Linked DNA regions of Drosophila melanogaster. The protein of the gene in region 1 interacts with the protein of each later gene in a pairwise test. Each region holds a gene or a part of one and is shown in the gene's direction. Other genes may lie near its edges. The genes, in order: Scp2, RFeSP, CG15071 and Mes2.

What was found.
Region 2: the proteins of Scp2 (region 1) and RFeSP interact in a two-hybrid assay, tested with the Drosophila melanogaster proteins (one large-scale study listed by BioGRID).
Region 3: the proteins of Scp2 (region 1) and CG15071 interact in a two-hybrid assay, tested with the Drosophila melanogaster proteins (one large-scale study listed by BioGRID).
Region 4: the proteins of Scp2 (region 1) and Mes2 interact in a two-hybrid assay, tested with the Drosophila melanogaster proteins (one large-scale study listed by BioGRID).

Annotation. Positions count from the first base shown.
Region 1 is NT_033777.3:16,580,576-16,585,674, reverse strand, and holds the start of Scp2 (sarcoplasmic calcium-binding protein 2), read left to right. Parts: upstream 1-2,011; 5' UTR 2,012-2,111; intron 2,112-5,099.
Region 2 is NT_033779.5:1,611,573-1,616,032, reverse strand, and holds RFeSP (rieske iron-sulfur protein), read left to right. Parts: upstream 1-1,872; 5' UTR 1,873-1,956; coding exon 1,957-2,050; intron 2,051-2,609; coding exon 2,610-2,989; intron 2,990-3,044; coding exon 3,045-3,263; 3' UTR 3,264-3,604; downstream 3,605-4,460. Other genes in the region: CG14352 (uncharacterized protein), read right to left, coding at 3,633-4,027, 4,165-4,460.
Region 3 is NT_033778.4:18,694,635-18,698,126, forward strand, and holds CG15071 (uncharacterized protein), read left to right. Parts: upstream 1-1,950; 5' UTR 1,951-1,999; coding exon 2,000-2,620; 3' UTR 2,621-2,711; downstream 2,712-3,492.
Region 4 is NT_037436.4:22,943,590-22,951,767, forward strand, and holds the start of Mes2 (Mesoderm-expressed 2), read left to right. Parts: upstream 1-2,067; 5' UTR 2,068-2,197; coding exon 2,198-2,351; intron 2,352-2,405; exon of another isoform or gene 2,406-2,595; intron 2,596-2,680; coding exon 2,681-2,981; intron 2,982-6,942; coding exon 6,943-7,801; 3' UTR 7,802-8,178.

The DNA of each region.
Region 1 (5,099 bases):
TCGACTGGGTTTTTGGAGCAACTTTTCTCAGTGTACTTCGTCCGCTCGTGTGTGAGCCACAACGGAACGTTTAGTGGTCCCACTTATGCGGCGGAGCAAAATGAAGGGAAGAGGCGATGCAGCAGACGTGGAATGGAAGCCCAAAAACAAAAAAAAAAAAACTACATGAAATAGGTGGACAGCTAAACGTTGTGAAATGGGGCCAAACGCTAGAAGGCATTCAAGATTTTAGTGGGTCTTTGGCCAGGCTCATGTTAATTTCAAACTGTGTCAATGTCGGCTTCCGTTTCCTGCACACACACACAGGACGTAGCCTTTGGCCACTTGAGATGCAAAGAGGTAAAAAGGCCACAAATTTAAACATTTGCCCACTCCAACACGCACCGTCGCTCCCACACACACACACACACACTTACAAAAAGAAATCAAGGTGGCCGGAACGAAACATTGGTAAAACGGTCATCTGCAATAAGCATCAGCTGCTGCTGGAACAGCGTGAAAGTGGAACAAGCAGAGGCTGCAGGACACCCGCTGGGCGAGAAGCACAGGATGTGGGCCAAAAAGGCACGGGGAGCCTGCTCCTGAGGCGCTTGATAAATTGGTAGCGACATTTCAGCCGAAACTTGACAATTAACAGCTGAAATACATGAGCTGTATATGTCTGCTTTGTGTAATTAAAAACCCAGCAGACAGCCTGGAAATTGCTTGGCCAAAATGCTTTCATTTTTTTTTCGGTTCTAGCCACTTTCGTCGGTTGGTGGTCCACTCTTGGACAAGATTGAATGCGCCAACAGAAATTATGCCGCCAAGTGTGCCTTATATTGCTGCTACTGCTGCTCTTGCAGCAGCTGTTTTGGCTGCCTTCTTCTTTGGGCCAAATTAACTTTAGCCAAGTTGAGTCCACAGCCAGCCTATGTGTTTGTGTGTGTCCGTGTTGCCTTCTTTTAAGGGAGAGCATGCCTGTGTGAGTGCTTCAGTTTATTGTGTGTGTGTCAAGGCTATGCTAAAAATTTGTCCAGAACATTTGCACATTTTGATTTGTTATGTTGTGGTGCACTGCAAACAATGTCGATGTATTTGGGTGGATGCTGTACGAGTATTATGTTGTATTGGGTCTCATCTACATCATCGTGATCATAATGTGCTGTTAGCAAAACTCAATTTCTTTTAAATCCTTTGGGGTTTATTTGCCAAGTTGTAATTAATTGAATTATTTCCCAGAAGAAATTATTATGTTGATTTATCTTCGAGTATACGTTTGCTGTATTATGGGGAGCGTGCTATAGTTTATTGGTAAATTAGTAATTTATGTTGACTAATAGATTGCCTCCTTTTCGGCTTTATCATTGTTTTTGTGCAGCTTAGACTTTGCTTCTTCGATGGAACAAAGTTTTGCGATAAAAGGGCGATCAACGTTTAAAGTTGGCTTAGGAAAACCTCTAGAACAGTTCTAAATTTTGGTAGTAACTAAACGAGAAAGCCAGCACACATCCCTCAGTGTCTTTTTGGCCACCCGAGGCGTCGTAACCCCTGAGCCCAACATTGTATGCGAATGCCGCTCCGATAAGACGTGCCATTTAATTACCAAAATATAAAGTGCATTCCGGCTACCAGAGCGCCCAGCATGGAGTTTTCTGCGAGTGTCAAATCCCAAAACAAACCCACGAGCAAATATGCCGCATGCTGATGACGACGGCGATGCCGATGTTCGGCTCGTAACAGTGCACGTGGTGGCCAAAAAGCACGCTACATGCACTACATCTACTCATACACTTACTCACACACGCACACACACACACACACACACACACAGGCTCGTGTCGGGTGCAGCACTCACTCACACCATGACGAGTGCAGAGGCGTCGGCAGAGTCGACCGAGACGGCGACTGCGATAAGATAAAGCCCCTGCGATGACATAGAGCACCCAGAGCGCTCGAGTTCTGCCGACGCTGGCAGAGATGGCGGCGCAGACGAGTAGCGCATATAAAAGCCGCTGACTCGATGGCAACGAGCATCACAAGACGGCCAACCGCGCTGCCGAGCAGACGAGTCCAGTTCGAGAGGGTACCAAAATTTAATCAGAAAGTGTAGAGTCAGTTTAGAAGCAACGGTAAAGTTAACGTCTATCTCTGTGTGTGAGTGTGTGTGTGTGTGCGAGTGCTAGTGCTAGTGCACCTGTGTTTGTGCTGAGAGTTTCCGCTACAAGAATAATAATGCCGCAACATTTTTCGAAAAAGCCCATTTCCAAAACCGACAAAAGAACAAGCCAAAAGTAACGAGCACAAGTGGGTGGCTCAAAGAGCTGCGAGGCTCAACAGGAACCAGAGCCCCAGTTTTCCTTGAGTGGGCAGATAGTTTGTGAAAGAAAGGTGGGGGTAGGGTATGCTGGAGGTACTTTTGCAAAAAACACAACCAACCTCTCGACAATTTAACAACTGGAAGAATATTCTTACTTCGCCCCACCTTGGTCAGGGCCATAATGAATTCATTGAAAGCGTGGCCAAAGTTTTGCTCTGGCCAAGCCAAGGAGAAGCGAACGCTGCCGCTCTAAGGATCCTCGTCCTGTCAGTCAGTCAGTCAGTCAGCCAGCCTGTGTCTGTTTTTTCGGTCCTGTTGTTTGGCCAGGCATGCGTCGGTGGCCTTAGGCCGCTCATTGTGAGCTCCTTGGCTCCACAGCTCCTCGGTGGCTGCAAATTGTAAATTGTAAAACTGTAAATTGTCAAACTGTAAATTAATGCAAATTACACGAAATTACTGCGAACCGGACAATGCAACAAAAGGCAAATAGTGGACGCGGAATACGGCGGACAGTGGACAGCGGACCACGGACAATTCCCGGAGCTGCATCAGCAGATAAAGAGCAAACGGCGACGCCACTTGCATTGTCTATTATTTTAAATTGGCTGCGCAAATTTACGGCAGCGCAAAAGTAATTAGCGACGGTTGAAAACTGTGCCATCGTCCAACTCGAATTGAGAATGAAGATGGGTGAGAATTGGAAAAGCGATTGGGTCATCTGGTCATCGGGGGGATTAGGCTGCTGCTGGGATCAGCAAACCGAGTTGTAGATTCCCTGCCAATGGCAGGCCAAATACGTATTCCACTGTCCAATTTGCATGCTGATGCAATCAAAACTACTACAATTTGTCCAGAAAATCGATCAATCGCATGTCTGACAGAGTGTAGCATACTTTTCAGCACTGCCTAACATTTGTCAGCTATCTGCATTTTTTTCGGACCCCATCCCACATTTTATTCTCTAATAATTTATGAGCTTCCTGCCTGCCCTCGCCTGTCGGGAATTCAGATTTTGCATAATAAACACATTGCAGCCCAAACCAAAAAACAAGAACCAGTTTATGCAAATCAAATTGTGTTGATAAACGAGTGGTAGGGTGTTCTCTAATTTGATTGCCCAATAAATTGCTGTATCGAATGAAACCATTTCGCATCTCGCGCGCCGATACTAAAAAAGCAATTAAAGCATTGATGTCTTCATATTGAAATTTATAACTTCACAGATGGCTATTAATTGCCGGAGAGGAGATAAAAGTCTGGGATTTCCGCCATATTTCCATTATTAGAAACTCGTTGCTGCGCTGCATGGCCCGAAAAATGAAAGCGAAACTCAAACAGAACCCAATTAACGAGCCTTCGGCGGTGATGTTGGTTAATGTGGTTGCCTCGTGCCACAAAAGCCGACGCAGTTTTGTGGCAAACAGCGCGTGGCTTTTATGCATTGGCGCATGAGTATTGGTAATTAATGGGAAGGCGGCGGCACAAATGACCGTGCCACAGCGACAAACAAACTTCCGCGCCACACGGCGTATGCGTAATGTGCTCGGCGCCCTACAAAGCGGAACCCAGCGGAAAACTGAAAAACAAATGACATCGATGAATTCAATTTGCGCGCATATTTAATTATTAAATGCGAGGATAAATAATACGCACATCAGGCTATTAAAAGGCTTTAAATTTCCACGGCCATTTCCCGTAGCCATTTCGAAAGTGCTACTGAAATGTGATTTCACTGCATTGCAATGCATTGGCTAGCAGGCTCGTAGATTATCCAGTCGAACTTAATCCCGTTTCCAATTGACCTGGAACAAGCAGACCATTTATATCACCTTTTATATATATTTATTTGCATTGATAAACTTATAAACATATAAAGATTTATGCTAGGAGAGAATATATCAGAATATAACAGAACTAAATAGTATGAATATTTTTGGATGAATATTATTGGCTCCAAACTGTTGTATGAAAACGGTTTCATTTGTCTTAAACGACGAACAAATTTCACAAGTGGTCTCATATTGATTTGTATTTTCCCGTATAAAAACATTAATTTCCTTATGCCCCTGGCTACGTGATTGTATTTCAGTTGAAAAGCACTTTTCATTCCCTTCTGGAAAGAAACTCACGGAATTGCAATTGCCAATGGAGATGGAAAGGGCGCCAAATTGAATATTACACTTTTTGTGTACTTTTAGCCAGTTGAGATGTGGATTATTTTTTCAGCATTCATTTTTTATTTTAACCAACATACTACCACTCCAATTTCACCTGATGTTAATTGAGGCGCACGTGGGAAATTAATGAACTGTGACAGTCTGATTTTTGCGCGCAAATGTGTGTGCATTAAATGCTAAATGAAGTTGACATCGGCTGCCGCATTGTTTGAGGCCATCGTTAATTTATTAATTAAACAAGCGATTTAACCTATTGCAATAATTGTCAAAATTAACCTTTATGACAGCGAAATTTGTGAATTCAATTAACATTGCCAAAGTCAGCTTTGCACAAGATTAATCGTTCTAAGGGAAAATGGAAGGAGGGCTTATGCAGCTTATGAATTTTTGCAATATACAGCATTATGAATACTGGGCCAGATTATTTTTTAATTTATTTTGACTCTTAACTTTTGACCTTGCTATGACATAATTTTAAATAAAATGTGGGTAATATTGTTGATTTTATTCCGTTTTTCATAAATTGTAATTGAACTAATCCACTTTTAAGCCAGCACTCACCTGCACTTCAGATGCCCGAAGGCAATAGAACCAATATTGATAATTCTTCCATTAGAATAACA
Region 2 (4,460 bases), on another chromosome or scaffold:
GTATTTGAAAATAAACAATATATGACACACACCATTCATAATTCCCAAATAGGGTATAGCTTAAAAGTTAATAATAACTAAGCTAAACTTTAGGAAATGTAAATATCTCAATTATAAAGCTAAACAATACTTTTTCGAGTGTATTTCGGCTCTTGCTACTGCTGTGCTGATGTTGTTGCTGCCGCAGCCGCAACGCTGCACACGCCGCACAGAAATGGTTGAAAAGGGGGTGGAGTGTGCGGCAAGAAGCGTGGCAGGGAGTGGTAAGGGGGGTAAGGGGGGGCTGCCCTGGGGCAGGGTTGAAACTTTGTTGTTGCTACTGCTGCTGTTGTAGTTGGCGCCAGTTTCCCATGTAAAAGTTGCTGAAAAGTGTAACGCAGTCGAAGCTTGACAAGAGTTAAGTCTGAGTGGGGATGCGGTCGAGTTTTGAAGTTGGAGGCGTTGTGGTGGCTGGAAAATTCGGTGGGTGGATGCGCAAAATCCAGGGAAAGGGCAGATGCCATTGCCACGTCGCCTACGCGGCATAGTTTCAACTTTTCAGGCCTCTACACTGTCAGAAATTGATATGTCAAATATTGGAACATAACAAGTGGTTACTGTTTGTGTCCTAGATATTAAAATGCATAATAAATAAATAAATCTCATTTCCGCACAAAAAAACGTCTGTTATTTTGTGTAAATGTAGAGTATCCCCTTGTTCATATCCCAACTACATTATGAAGTTTGTTTTTGGCCAAATTTTACGCACTTTTCCGTAGGAACCCATTTTGTATGTGTGCGTGTTTTGGGCCAAGTACATAGAGGCGCCGTTATGTGCGCAGATTTTCCTCCTCCGGCTGGGAAATAGATGAACACATCGCAGCGGAGCGAGGAGTGGAGCACTTTCGGGCCCACTTTCACTTGCCACCTAGCCAGTGAAAGGAGGAGGGGAGTGGGTGGCAGCAAAGTTTCGACATCAAAAAGAACTACTTTCGATAATCACAGGACTGGCGCCAGAGGAATTACATTTCAGCCGGCTGCGGGAGAGTTTTCCCCGCTGCCACGGCCGCTTTTTTGGTTTTAAAGTTTGGCCAAATTTCGGGCGGCAAACTTTTATGCGCATAACAAATTCCCCTACATCGGCTGTTTTTTATGCAGTTTTTATTGCCATTTTATGCGTTGGATGAGATCAGCCGAGGCATATCTCCAATTCAGGAGCTACGCTTATTAATTAAGCTGAGAGAAACTACCCCGAAGAAAATAGGCAACATCCAGCAAAGTCCAATCAATGACATCATAATGATGCTGCCCGGGGGAAAATGGAAAAGTGCAGTGGAAAAACTGGATAGTGAAAGTCCGGTGGTTGGACCTCGTCTTTTGTTCTCCACTCGGTGGTGCGTTGACCAACCGGTTTGCCATGGAAACCCCTTTTCATCCGGGCTAAATCTATGCCACTGCAGTTTCCAATTGAAAAGAAAGGTAGTTTTCACTTGAATGAAAAGGTCGAAGGGTGGAAACTGAGCCTCCTTTTCACCTTTCGAAGGAAAACGAAAGGGGATGAAGGATTGAACGGCAAGGTGAAACAAATGCAATTTAATTCGACGCAGGATTATCATTTCAACATGAAATGCATATCAATTTAAATTAAAGTAAAAGCTTTTATGCACTGCGGGGTGGTTTAACGAGCTACAATATCATTTGTTCCAAAAATTATTTGAAATTCTATTCACCTATTTAAAAAACCGTTACTGGGCTGTAATAGCGGCCAGCTCCTGACAGTGAGCAATCGTAGTGGCAACTCTGAGAATGCAAATAGCTGGCAGCACTATACACTAATATATACTAGTATATTGTGGTATTTTTTGCAGGTTACCTGGTATTTCTCACCCACTTGAGTGCGGTCACACTGGTTCTCAGACGAAAACGACAAACGTCGAAATTTTCGTGATCATTTAATTTGATAGGGAAACATACAAAATGATGAACGCCGTGTCGCGTGCTTACGTCAGAGGCGGAGCCCAGGTCCTCTCCACGGGATTGAAGGCGAGCGGCGTGGCCGTCAACTCGATGGGTAAGGCTCTGCGAGGCGAATTCATCGAGCTGCCAGCTGAAAACACAGCCATTACATAATGAATGGATCGGGAAATAGGCGGAAAAAGTTGAATAAAAGCTTGGAAATGCCACCAGGACGTGATTTGCACTCGGCTTTAAGGCGATTTGTCAAATTTCCTTACGTAATTTCAACATAACCTCGTACAATAACAACAATCACTGGCTCACAAGCACACCTGCAATTTACATCGGATCTGTGGGATATACTCAATCGATTTCTGCCAAACGTGGGATTTACTACCTCTGGGACCAGGAATATCATCATGCGAAGTTTGGCACCTCTGTCTGCAAGGGACGCCAAGTTATGCCAAGTTGGCCCAAGATGCCCTGTGTCGGCTATAAGAAATATACCTTCAGCCTTGACAACCCCAAAACAATGTTGTTTACACTCTTCACTGCCCACCACACAAAAAATTTATGATTATATCAGCAACACTGCTCTGCAAACAAGCACAAGGATCTATAGAACCTCTGCACTTCGATCAATGGATAATTAATGATTCCCTCCTTCCTTTCAGCCAATCGCCAGGCACACACCGACCTGCAGGTGCCAGACTTCTCGGCATACCGCCGGGAGTCCGTGAAGGACAGTCGTCGTCGCAACGACACCGCCGAGGAGCGCAAGGCCTTCTCCTACTTGATGGTCGGCGCCGGAGCCGTGGGCGGTGCCTATGCGGCCAAGGGCCTGGTTAACACCTTCATCGGATCGATGAGCGCCTCCGCCGAAGTGCTGGCCATGGCCAAGATCGAGATCAAGCTGTCCGACATCCCGGAGGGCAAGTCGGTTACTTTCAAGTGGCGCGGAAAGCCCCTGTTCATCCGCCACCGCACGGCCGCGGAAATCGAGACCGAGCGAAATGTGCCCACATCCACGCTGCGCGATCCGGAGGCTGATGATGTAGGTACCGTGGAGTGGGTCGATTCGCTAATGCTGTTACCCATTTCCTCTTTAGCAACGTGTGATCAAGCCCGAGTGGCTGGTGGTCATCGGAGTGTGCACGCATCTGGGCTGTGTGCCCATCGCGAACGCCGGCGACTGGGGTGGCTACTACTGCCCCTGCCACGGCTCCCACTACGACGCCTCCGGAAGGATCCGCAAGGGACCCGCGCCCCTCAACTTGGAGGTGCCCACCCACGAGTTCCCCAACGAGGGTCTTCTCGTGGTCGGCTAGAGGAGCTGTTATCGTTTAAGCCCCCAACTGCATAGTGAATGGATCGATGTAAATTAATAAATACAACCAAACAGAACGACCGAGCATAAACGAGCAATTCATTCGAACTGAGGAGGAATAAATGTGAAGGGCTTAAATCCAGCAGCCTAAATCCAGCTTACTTGTTAAAATGTAGACGAATCTTTAGAAGTTTGACAGACATTATTAAATCTTTTGAAGATGTAATTGTTTGCTTCTGGTTTCAAAAATCAAGGAGTGTACATGAGTTTCTTTCGATAATCTTTTGTTTAACTAGGACTATAGTAATTACTGAAGAGCACTGACATTATGAAGACAAGAATAAATTAACTTATCCTAGCTAGCAATTCCTTAGGATGAAGCCTTGCTTTGCGCGACTTTGCGTCGTTTTTCGAGTATTTCCGCTTCGAGAAGTTCGTTTTTCAGGCGCATATTGCGCAGCTCCACCTTTCGCTGCTCCAGCTCGTATTTCTGCTTCTCCATCTCAAGCTTGTGCTTCTCGGCTGCCCGGGCGTTTTCGCATCGATAGTACTCCTGTTGCAGCCTGATCAGAACGACTTTTTCATCCTTCAGGGTATTCGTGGCATCCTCTTCTGAGCTCACATCGACTGACTCTTCATTTACATTCAGAGCTGAGTAGTTTGGTCTGTCAACTGAGTAGCTTGAGTTATTCGGCACGAGCTTGACTTCGGTAGAGGCGCTTCTGAGGCTTTTTCGGTTCAATTCCGATTCGAAATAGGTACTACCTGCAAGATGTTTTTAGAGTTTATTAGAGATAAAGCACTGAAATATTGCTGTAGAAGAACCTATCATGGTAAGACTATTAAGGTACATCTTGTCAACTACCACGTTCATGCTTTTGATCCTGCCATCCTTTACTCACTTTCTTCATTATCAGCAGCTGCAGCCAGCGAAGAAACTCCCGAAATGGACAAATTCTGCACCGAATCTGATGCATTGTCAGTCTTTGCCTCCTCGTCACTCAGTGTTCCGTTCTTTCGCATCATCCGCAGGTTGTTGGTGTACTTCTCTCGCAGAGCCTGCCAAGAACGCTCTATTCCGGTCTGAATGGCGAAGTCCGCCTCAATTTGCTTCCACGCCTCCGATTTCTTCCTCCAAATGGCCGGATCCTTCTGCTTGTTGCGGATCACGTCGCGATGCGCCAGGATCAGGTTCTCC
Region 3 (3,492 bases), on another chromosome or scaffold:
TGATTTCCTCTAGTGAAAATCTGCGGGGGAAATGACTCTGAAATAAACAGTTTTATCATTTCTTAGCCAATATAAATAGTATTAATTGATTTCTTTCTTTGTTTAGAGTTCTACGCTCTCTTGATCGCTTTCATGTGCCGTTTTTCAAATTGAATTTCAGTTTACTTTCTTTGTGTGCGGAATGTGTTTGCACTCAATTGGCAAGTTTTAGTTTAATTGAATTTTTCTGTAGTTGCCTTGGCAACTGTTTTAATGCTCCAATTGATGCAATTAAGCACCAGCCATGCAGCGTAGACACTCTATATACCACTCGTGTTTGTTTTTACATAGAGAAAAGCAGGGGAACTTAAATAAAATATTTTTTAAATTTCATTCCAAGTTAAGATGAAAAACCGCATTGCAAATGTGAGTTTTTAAACTGTTTAAACTGTATGCTACTATACATTTCATTATTTATATGTCGATATTATTTCTCTCTGTGCAGCCCTATGCTCTACCCGTCTCTTTCTGGTCAATTCACACCGTCTCGCTCACATTTGTTGATTGATCTTTCGCTATGGGCAAATATTTAAGCTGCCGTCTGAGCGTTGCCTTTTGGCCAGCAGACCGAAAACATGTTTGAACATCTAACACGCGTCAGACCGAAAAGAAGCGAGTGCAAGCGGGACGGAGATGATGAGCGAGCGAGATGGGTGGCTGAAATCGTTTAACAATTTTTATTTACCTTTTTATTAACAATTTCGCGGCTTTTTGCAGCTCACCATTCGTGTGTCTGCGGTTTTTATCATATTTCTACTGTGTGTGTGTGTGTTTACAAAACCCAAAAAATTATGCGCACTAAATCTAAGGTCGACCTTTTGCCTTTCCTTTGCATTTCCACGTTCATATTTGTATGCTTTTGATACTAACAAAACTATGCTATCTGCAGCAAAAAAAAAAAATACGCATACATACATACATTCCAATGATAAGCACAAATGCTATCAGTGGAGTTGCTTCTTCTGCTGATTTTTCATCCACGATGTTTTGTCATCGCAAGAAAAGTAAATTCGCAAATCAGTCACGTGCGTTCGCTCTCTGTCTCTGTCGCACAGCGGAGTGGGTGGTGTGGGCGCAAGTGGGTTGTGGCTGGTGGGTGGGAGGGAGACAGAAGACAAACAGCACGCGCCAAGTTAATGCTGCCCGATTTGACTTTGCAGGCGATAGCAAAACAAATAATAAATCAACATTTCATCCGCACAAACAGTCAAACTTCCATACCAAGCACTTTTGTAATTCCAGCAATTTTAGCCGTACATAAAAAAAAAAGGCAATTTAAATATAAACGAATTTCGTTAGTTAACAGTGAATCTTAAATATAACGAACATTTTTGCATAATATATAAACCTTCTTAGCTTTGATTTCATTGATTGTAGATTGTGATTTAATATATTAGTTCCACTAAAGCAAGGCTCACTGTTGTATTTCCTACTTTTACTTTATACTTTTGTTAGTCCATTGAAACTTGATTAGCTCGCCAAACATTTGATCGTCACTTGAGTTTTTGGCTAGCAGGTGGATTTTCCCGGTCTCCCACAAGTACTGATTAGAAATTAGTTAGCCACGAAAGTGGTCTTCAAGCCACGACCCCGTTTGTCCCATTTCCATGGGCAATTAAGTAGGCCATGACATGGAAACAGTAATTGTACTAATCGATTTTCCATTTCCACTGAAAGTTACCGCTGCCGTTTGGAAAATTGTAAAATCCAGCCAAGCCAAATAAAGTTTACTGACCCCCGGCAGAAGCATAGAATTGTTGGCACAGCAGCCGGAAAAATCGAGGGGGGTGGAAAGGTTGCATATCGATTAAACACGTGGAAGGAGTGGGTGGGTGGTTGGGTGTGCTGGCAACACGTTTGATTACCGCGTGTAAATAAGAACAACCAAACGAGCGCTGCAGAAGTTGCAACGACTCTCTCCTTGGATGTTGTGCAACAATCACATGCTACCGAAGCCCCAATGGAAAATCCAAAAGACGATGAACAAAAGCCAACGGCTCCAAGGGCTCAACCGCCGGAAAAACCCGCTCGTAAACGGAATCAAGTTAAAATTCCGCCCAAGATCAGGGCGGCAAAACTAACACCTACCGCCATTCTGTGTGAATTGACGCGCCTGAAGGCGCAGCAAAAATATCTCGAATGCAATCAAGTCAAGCTGAATCCCAATAATTTCATACTCAAAGATGATGAGGGCACAGATTCAAAGACCGAGTCTTGCCAAGAGCCGGAAACTGGTCGAAATCCACGACCCAACAGTTCCTCCACGGCAGATCTAATAGGTCTGATCAACGAAATCGAACAGGAGAAACTTGTGCTCCATGAAAAACTTAAGCTATATAGCAGCGAAAAGCGTGGAGAGCTTCAGGATATGTGGCATTTTGTGGCCACCGTTAAGGAGGATGTCTTTCGGCCAGAACGTCTTAGCCAATATACAGTGAATGCTCTAAGGGAAAGAATCGTTGGCCTAAATGCCCAATTGTATCGCTTGGCTGCTAGGAACTCAAAGGAACTCGAAGAACTGAGGGAGCAGTACGCTAAAATGGAAATTGAAAATAAGCTGTTGTGGAAAGGTAGCATGTAGATTAATATACAGCAACTTTTGGATTAGTTTTTTTTTCACTTTTTCACATAGATAATATCCCAAAAATTTGTATTTGTTCTATAACTTGAATAGGCTTGCAAAACAATAAAGAAATATCTTTAAATCAAGTGGAATAGTTTCAAAAGTAGATATACCTACAAAGTATTATCCAATCCAATTTAAATGCAAATACCATTAGTTTTGAAAAAGTATTACGGAGCAAATGCTTTTCTCGATGGCCATGCATTGCGATTTGCAGACAAATATTGCTGAAATTCTTGACATTGTTTCAGGGCCCTTATTTAATGGGCGACACTCGTAATCAACAACATTTTAGACCTTGCCTTGAGCTGCTTGCCTTTTAAATCAATAGGACCTTTTGATGCGACTTTTTTCGCCTTCGGCTGAAGGATTCCCAAACGGAGGCGACACTGGTATTTTCTGCCACGACTGCTATACTTGTTGTTGGTGTATTTCTGGTTGCGATTATTTTGAAATGTCTCATTTGCGAGCGCCGAGCTTGAGGTTCATCGCATTCGCCGGGCGACCAATGGGGAAAGGTCAAACGGCACGTGGCAATGGCATTTCTGTTTTTTCCATACTTTTTTTTCAGCCCTACCCCCCCCCCCCCCAAGCCTTTGGTTTTTCCTTGTTTCCCGTTGTTGGCTGAAGTTCAAAACCGGCTCACGTGGCATTGGCGATTTATAGGACGTAATATCAGTGCAGAATCAGCATTTGTTTCATGCAATTATGTAAAAGTATGACACTCATCTCGATTTCGCCGGCCATCGTCTAATTCGCTCAACAGACATTACGCATACGCCGCATTGCCCGGCAGCGAGAGCGCTCTTTGTCTTTATTATAAACAAATA
Region 4 (8,178 bases), on another chromosome or scaffold:
CACTCACACACACGCATTCGCTCAAACGCATTCTCACTCTAACACTCTCGGTGCCTCCCTGTCACTCCTTGGCAAGACCAACATGTGTGATCCAAATGTTCATTTGTAAATTCTATAAACGGGGAAATACGATAATGAACTGAACTTCGACTCTACAACTGCAGCGAACGAAGCCAGCCACGGGCGGAGTCCACAAAAACACACTGTGGTAGAACACTAACCCACCCTTCTTCAACTATTCATTGCTTAAGCTATGGCCAGGCCCCCTGGAAAAAAATTATAAATCTTTAAGTCAAGCAGCCAGCCATTGATGGAATCAGATCGTCCGATGAGTATATTTAGCCCTCTTTACATTTAACAACAAATTTGTGCTCTTATATCGTAAATTCTACACAAAATTATTTATCTTCCAGTAATTATACTCGTTACTCGTAGTATAAAAGAGTATATTAGATTCGTTAAAAAGTATTTAACAGATAGAAAGTATTCATATTATTGATCAGGATCAATAGCCTGTCCGTCCGTTGAACGTCGAAATCTCAGGAGCTATAAGAACTAGAAGGTCAAGATTATGCATACAGATTCTAGAAACATAGACACAGAGCCAGTTTGCTTCCACGCCCACAAGTCGGGCAAAACTGTCACGCCCACACTTTTGAAAACTGTTTTGATATTCTTTCATAGTTTTATTAGTCTTGCAAATGTGTATGGTTTTGCAAAAAAACTTTTAAAAAAGTTTTGATATTTTTTCATCTTTTTTAATTATAAATTTTTATCGATTATGCCACACCCACTATCGACCGTAAGCCGCAGAAACCTGTCACGGACACACATTTGAAAAATATGTTATATCTTTTTTTCACATTTTTATTAGTATTGTAAAATTCTATCGATTTGCTACAAAAACTTTATGCCACGCCCACTCTAACGACCACAAACCTCCCATTTCTTCTTGTCCAATATCTATCGATGGTCCTAAAAAATTATGAAATTTCGCGTTCTCACTTCCACTAGCTGAGTAAAAGGTATTTGATATTCGGGGAACTCGTGCGTTCTCTCTTCTTATTTATTTAAAACAAGAGAGAACAATAGTCGATTACTTTCGACTATCAGATACCCGTTACTCAGCGAATTTTGAGATTTTTTTTGTCATTTCGATGGAAATTTACATTTATATAACAAAATGAAATGAAAATCAAATCCCTTTTCACAACTGAGAGCAGGATACCTGGCCAATAAACGGTTTCATGGCGTCTGGATAGGCTTGCGAACGCACTAACTTGCATGCGAACGGACAGGCGGACAGATCAAGATTATATGTATGTGTGTACTCCAGTAAACTTATAATTATTATGTTAGTCTAAAACCTTAATGCGTTGGAGATTTACAATAAATGTATGTACATATGTACATAGTCATGAATTCTTTAAATTCCTCGAAATTGTTCCGATACGGGAATCGACCCCCCTATATTAATTGAAGCTGATATGGCCGAAGTGCAGCGTATTCTGCCAAGAAACGCTATCCAAGTATTTTGGTACGTATGTATGTATGTACATACATGTGTATATGGTACATTCATGTAGTACATACATACATATGTATGCAAGTACGTACGAACGCTCGACAATTCCTCTGCTAAAACCAAATGCGAACGCGTCAACGGATTTTTGTATTACACACATTTTCTGTTGTTTCGTTCTGCGCGTTCTCCCTGTTGTGTGTGTGTGTGTGTGCGACGCCGCTTTTCGCTTGCTTTTACTTTCTGTGGCTTGTGATTGCGATTAAACGGGGTTTCCATCCGGCGAGTCGCGCTCTAGGCAGCGCCCGGAGAGCGCTTTAGACCTATATGTCTGGATCAGATAACGGGAACGGTGGCAGCGAGCCACGGCCGGAGAGAGACAGAGAGCGCAAAGAGCTATAGCTGGCTCTCATGTCGATGTCGAATGCGCGTGATTTTTTGGCTCTGAATGCGGGCTTGCTGCCAACTGCGCTGCCGGCTCGGCGTCGACGACGGCTGAGCGCAGCCCGCTTGCCGCGGTGGTTGTTATTTTCTGGTCTTGGTTTTTAGTTGCCGTTTAAACTTGGTCGTGAGAGGGTAGCAGCCCCGTTATCAGCCGACCGCGATCGCGTCCGAACTAAAGAGTACTGTGGAGCCCTGGCCAGTTCAAGCCTTCAAATCCTCCAGAACATTCTGATGGCGCCCGTGAGCGGCTGTTTGCCCACCGCCACCCACTCGCTGCAGGACATGAGTGCTGCCGCCGCGGCAATCGCTCTTGACATGAAGCCCAAGTTGGAGCCCCACCCCCTGGCCGCCGCAACTGCCATGCCCTCTCAGAAGATAAAGAAATGTGCGTACACAGATTTATTCCCCACATTCATGCAAACATACGTACATACATATGTATATATGTACAATTTTTATGCAAAATGCAGTCGAAAGTCGATACGTCGAACAAGCAGTAGAATTTATTTTATCTCTTCATTGCCTATTCAAATAGTTCGGTTCACCCTATGTGCAATGTACATACATATACGTACATACGTATGTATGTACATTTGGGTTAAAAAAGTTCGACTTATAGAAGTTTTGAGGTGCCTGTACCGTGCTTTCTTAAAATATTCGACTGTCGAGACTCGAGGACTTATATTATTTGCATTCATTTTTGTGTCCCAACAGTGGTTCGGCGCAACGCCTCCGACAAGCTGAAGCTCATCCAAATGGTGCACGACAATCCAATTCTCTGGGACTCCCGTCTCCCGAATTTCAAGGGCGCCGAAGAAGAAAAGAACCGAGCCTGGGAGCACATAGGCCGCGAGTTCAACGCTCCCGGGCGTCGCGTTGCACGGGCCTTCAAGTCCTTGAGGGAATCCTACCGCCGTGAACTCGCCCACGTCAAGCTAATGGGCAATGGCTTCAAGCCCAAGTGGAGTCTCTATGAGGCCATGGATTTCCTGCGCGATGTCATCAGAGAACGAAAGTAAGTATAAGGAATAGTATTTTAGTGAACTGGTGACCAGGTGATTCTCTTAAATTTAAAACCGTCAAGGAAGTTTCATGCCAATATCGACTCCTGGGGTTGACCAGTAATATAGAGCCCGTTATGAATTTTGCATTCTCTGCTTGACCCATTATTGCCACACCACAAATCATGTCACTAAAAATGATCTTCATCCAAATGGCTTTACAAAAGCAAAAGCAATAATAGAACACGAGAGAAGAGCGCTTAAATTTAAAATTTGACAGAAATACGAGTCATTCTTATAATCGAATAGTAAAGTACATGAAATTCTATATCAACGAATAATTATTACAGAACGTATTGCACTTATTTCCAAGTTTTCTTTTAATCTTTCTAGGCAATATTTACCTTTCCCAAAATGATCTTAATTAACGTACTTATTCTTATCCTCTGCTTTTTGGAGATCGATACCAAAACAAATCTAAAAGTGGAACCGTTATTTCTCAAAAGTAATGCTCCCTTACGACTACAGTTCTTCAATAATATCGTCTTACACTCTGAACATTATTTGTGTCAGGAGTACATTTGGCTACTTATATTACAATGAGTTTGATAAGCCGTCACTAACCATACAACCATCGAACAACGGTCAAAGTTTGGCTTGAGTCGTGAATAACAGTTTTCGGTTTAGATTGGTCTTCTGTTTTGGTCATACACGGATTGATTCATGCGAAACAAATACATGCATCAGTTTGAAGACTAGCTAACTTATACACAATAATAATGTGACTCACCTTTCCAACGATCATTTACATTGGTCGAAGGTATTGTATGCTTTCCAGTCCTGTGTCTGAAAGAGGTTTTTCCGAATCTGCCCCCCTAAAAATATGTGTGCTTGTCAGTAGTCAGTCAAGCGAACAATGTTGTTTAGCTTGGCTCAATCAAAAATAATTATTGCAGGAAATTCCAAGAATCTTATCATTTTATGCGAGTAGCCACTTCAGCTTATGTACACTGAGAAGTGTATGAGTTTGTGAGTCATGGCTTAGATCTAATGTTGGACAAAATATGTCAATAAATTTATTTCAAAAATCATAGAATCACGGACTTCGTAAAGATCTGACAATTTAAATAAATTGAGAATTCGGAAATATGTTCAGATCGAATAGACAATACATACAATTGTCACATAAAAAACATGTGATAAGTTTAGCATAAAGTTATTCGAACCGTAACTACGAAATTCCACTTCCATTCGAGCCTTCGTACAAAACTCATCCCTTAGCCCAGTCGATTTGCATAAACGCCCAACAATTCGAGCAAATCTCAGCACCGTGTCTGAGAAAACATCTGCCCAGCGAAAAAGAATAGCAAAAACAAGGCAAGGGGGCATATGGACACTAAGGAGCGGTAATGTGGAAAAAACCAATCCGAACAAAGGAATGACCGGGCCAGAGACCCGCAAATGGTCTCAGTCGAGAGTCTGCCCCGTCCAATGTTCTGGCTCATATGGAGCCGTGCTCGAGCTGCGGGTGTGTGTGTGTGTGTGAGTGTGTGTACTTTATGTACATATTTATATGAAATAAGGCCATTTCCTTTCAATTGACTGTACCCACATGGGCAACAAGCAGTCGACGGCCCCGACACATGCCCGCGCACACTCACCCATGGTGTGTGTATATATTTAAATTTTTATTATTGTGAGCTGATAACAGACAGCTCAACGGGCCCGGCCAGTCGGGCAGCGCTTGAGCCGGAGCTATAGCCGCAGCTATAGCCACAGCCATAGCCATAACACAGATCTCGCCAAGCGGCGAATATTATACAACGTCGCAGCATCGTCGCTGCTTGAACCAAAAACGAAATTGAGGGAAGCTGCAAACGCAAGACCAAGTCCATCGAATAGTGCTTGCGAGAGGGGTGGGGACTATGGGAAGGCGCCGAGAGAGCGATAAATTAATGAGAGCACTACGAAAATGACAATCAGCACCGAAGAATACGGATTGCGAGTGGACCAAGTTGGGAAAGACTGGTAGCTCGTGAGCGAGAAAGGGGCTGGTAAGGGAAAATGAGCGAGGTTCTGCCTGTGTGTGTATGACATGAGCACCGAACACTCGTAAAGATCGCTGTATGGGTGAGCTGAGTAATTGAACGAATAGCTTGGTCTGACTTCGGCCAGGGTTAAAAATATGCCCACGACCATTAGCCAGCCGCATCGGCCGCGTCCCGGCCAAGGGGTTGCTGAGACCCAGAGTCGGGGTCTGGACGCCTCTTTCAGGCTGCCCTGGCCCACATGCTTTCGTCGTTCAGTCCTCTCTTAATGGGGGGCTCTCGTACCCTCACCCTCACACACACGAGGCCACTTGGGTGTGAAAGTTCTGCTGGGCTCTGTCTGTGTCACGCTTATGATTTAATAAGCAAATGTGCTGCGAAATTGCTGAAATTGTTTGGCTGTCCGTCATCCCCACAATCCGAATCTCGCCCCACGCCCTGAAATCACTGTCCGCCGTATTTCGCATTGAAATGCTTTAGCCAATGCGTCACGGAAGAAGAAAAGTGGGCGGTAGTCCGTGCTTGCCTTTTGATTCTCGTACCTTTAAATGCCTTTGCATGGAGCTAGTTCTTGCCTAATAAATCATAATAAAAAGTTCTAGGTCTGCAAAAATCTAAAATCTCATTCGGACCATTGGAATATTTAATTATGTTATTATTATATTAATATTCATAGATTTGTTTCCAAGTGCAGGTGATAGAGATTTTAGAAAACGAATTCAAACCACAAAAACCCATAAACAATCTCGGAAAACGGCTTGGGACCTAAGCAAGAGCGGAAGCAAATAATGATAAGCTGAGCGATTCAAACCCCGAAAAGAAACCAAGTCAAAATAATGAAGTAAATAAAGCCATTCCCGATTGTGGAACATGTGAAAATGTATTTCGACTCGATTAGTCCTGCGAGTTTTTTGGTCTTGGCTGGCGAGCGAGTATCAGTTTTCAAATTTTACAATTGTCAACTACCTGCAGCCGATTGCGGTGATAAGGCTGTCTTCTAGGTCGCCCATGCCCGTGCCTACCACTAGGCCAGGTCTTTGCATTCGGCAAATAACTATAGGTATGGGGGAGGCCCAAAATAGCCACGTTCAGATGTTCTTTGAGCACCCGGCCCAGGCAGCTGCATTGCCTGTGAAAATGCTCTTGAAACTTGAGACGCGTAAGGAGAGAGACAGGAAGCGATACTACACTGAAAGACATTTATGTTTATGCATTTCTTGTGTTATTGCCTTAAACAGACAAGATTTCAAAATGGGGATATGAATCGTTGAGTCACAGGAAACATATGAACTCTATAAGGCTAATACAATTATATTTTTGTGTGTTTTCGAACTCACAATTAATACGAACATGCTTTCCTTATCAGGGTCACTATCCGATCGCAATGTCCGTCGGCATAAAACAAAGCTAATTAGTTGATGACAACCTAGCAAAGTTTTACGAACTTATTGATTTGTCTTTCAGACTATTCTATTTCTAATTTTTTGCCCAACGTTTTGCAAATGATTATTGCCAGCATTATTTAATATTTTTTTATTTATTGTAATTAATATAATTTAAGATAAGAGAAAGAAAATCTGTTATACTATAAATGATGTGTGAGAGACAAAGAAAAGTATTCTTTCTACTTTTAATTTAAGAACGTAGGCGGTTCTTAAAGTGTATTAAAAACAATGTACATAACCACTAGTCACGGTTATATGTTATTGTATTTAATAAATTTATTAATCTTTTTGTATGCCCTTTTAAACAACCTCCTTCATCAAATTTTTATTAGTATTCAACTTAACATCAATACAAAATAAAAAAATACCGCAGACTTGCTGCGAATATGAATATTGAATATGACGCAAAAGTAAAACCCAACCTTAAACCCGTTAAAATGTGAAATAATTTAGTCTTCTAACATATGTTCTTTCTATTATAGGGGCGCTTCGCATGCAACCGATCTAAGCCTGACAACCTATGGCCATATTAACAATAACAACAACAACAACAACAACAGTAACAGCTTGGCTGCAGGGGGAAAGGCAATGACCCTGAAGCTGTCCAATTCCTTTAACGAGTCCGCCTCAGTGTTAAATCTCTCAAAGTGCTCCTCGCTCAATGTAAGCGACGATCACTACTATTGCGACTACTATGTGAAGCCGGAGCTGGATCTCTCGGTGGGCGGTGGGGCCGGAAGTAGCACAAGTGGGAGTAGCTCCGGCGGCGGGCCACTTCCTCTGCCCGCTCACCAGGCTCACAACGACAGTCGGGTGAGCTCAACGAGAAACGAGCAAAGGGCACAGCATCACAGCTATGAAGACATGGACGACAGCTCGATACGCAGCGGGGACGAAGATATCGCCCACGCATCCGACGTAGTGGAGGAGTTGGATGCCATCGATGCAGATTTCCCTTATCCTCTGATTCTGGATTCCAACTCACGCGGTAGCCCCAATGTTGGTGTGGACGATGTGGTCATGTCCCGCAAGCTTCGCCGTAACGTCGATCAAGATGTTTTGGAGGAAGGAAACGGTCACGGCGATGCGGTTATCGATGGTGACGACTACGAAGAACAAATGCTGCAACAGCACCGCCATCTCCGGCAGCAACAGGGCGTCGCAAGCGGAGGGTTGGATCTGCCGCCCCCACAAACTGTACGTGAGGTTTTGAACTCCAAGTTCTGCGGCTTTATTTCAGCCAAGCTAAACAGCATGGAGGACTCGGACGCGGACAATTTAATGAATCGCATTCTTCTCTTACTGGTTCAAGTGCAGCAGTGCGAAGGGTCCACGAAATAGACAGCGGAGGAGAAGAGCGCTAAGTGTACGGGTGTAATTATAGTAGCCAAAAAAAAGTACATAATGGAATGATGTTGCTGCTCAGAGCACTTATAACTGAATTTTCTTGCCATTATATATTACTTTCCTAAAGAAATACAAATTTACTTGCCAATGCCAAATCTGTGCCATACCAAAAGGATCAATCAAATATGAATGATTTTCTAAAACATTCTCTAATTTTTTCGCTCCTATTAACAAAAATGAACCAAACTCAACGAAAAGACAACACAAAGACGTAAACCAAGAAATAGCAAAATAAGAAACATAGATTAATTAAGCTTTAAATGTTAATTTCGTTTTAAGTCGATCAACTGTAGTTCATACTCATGCCAACG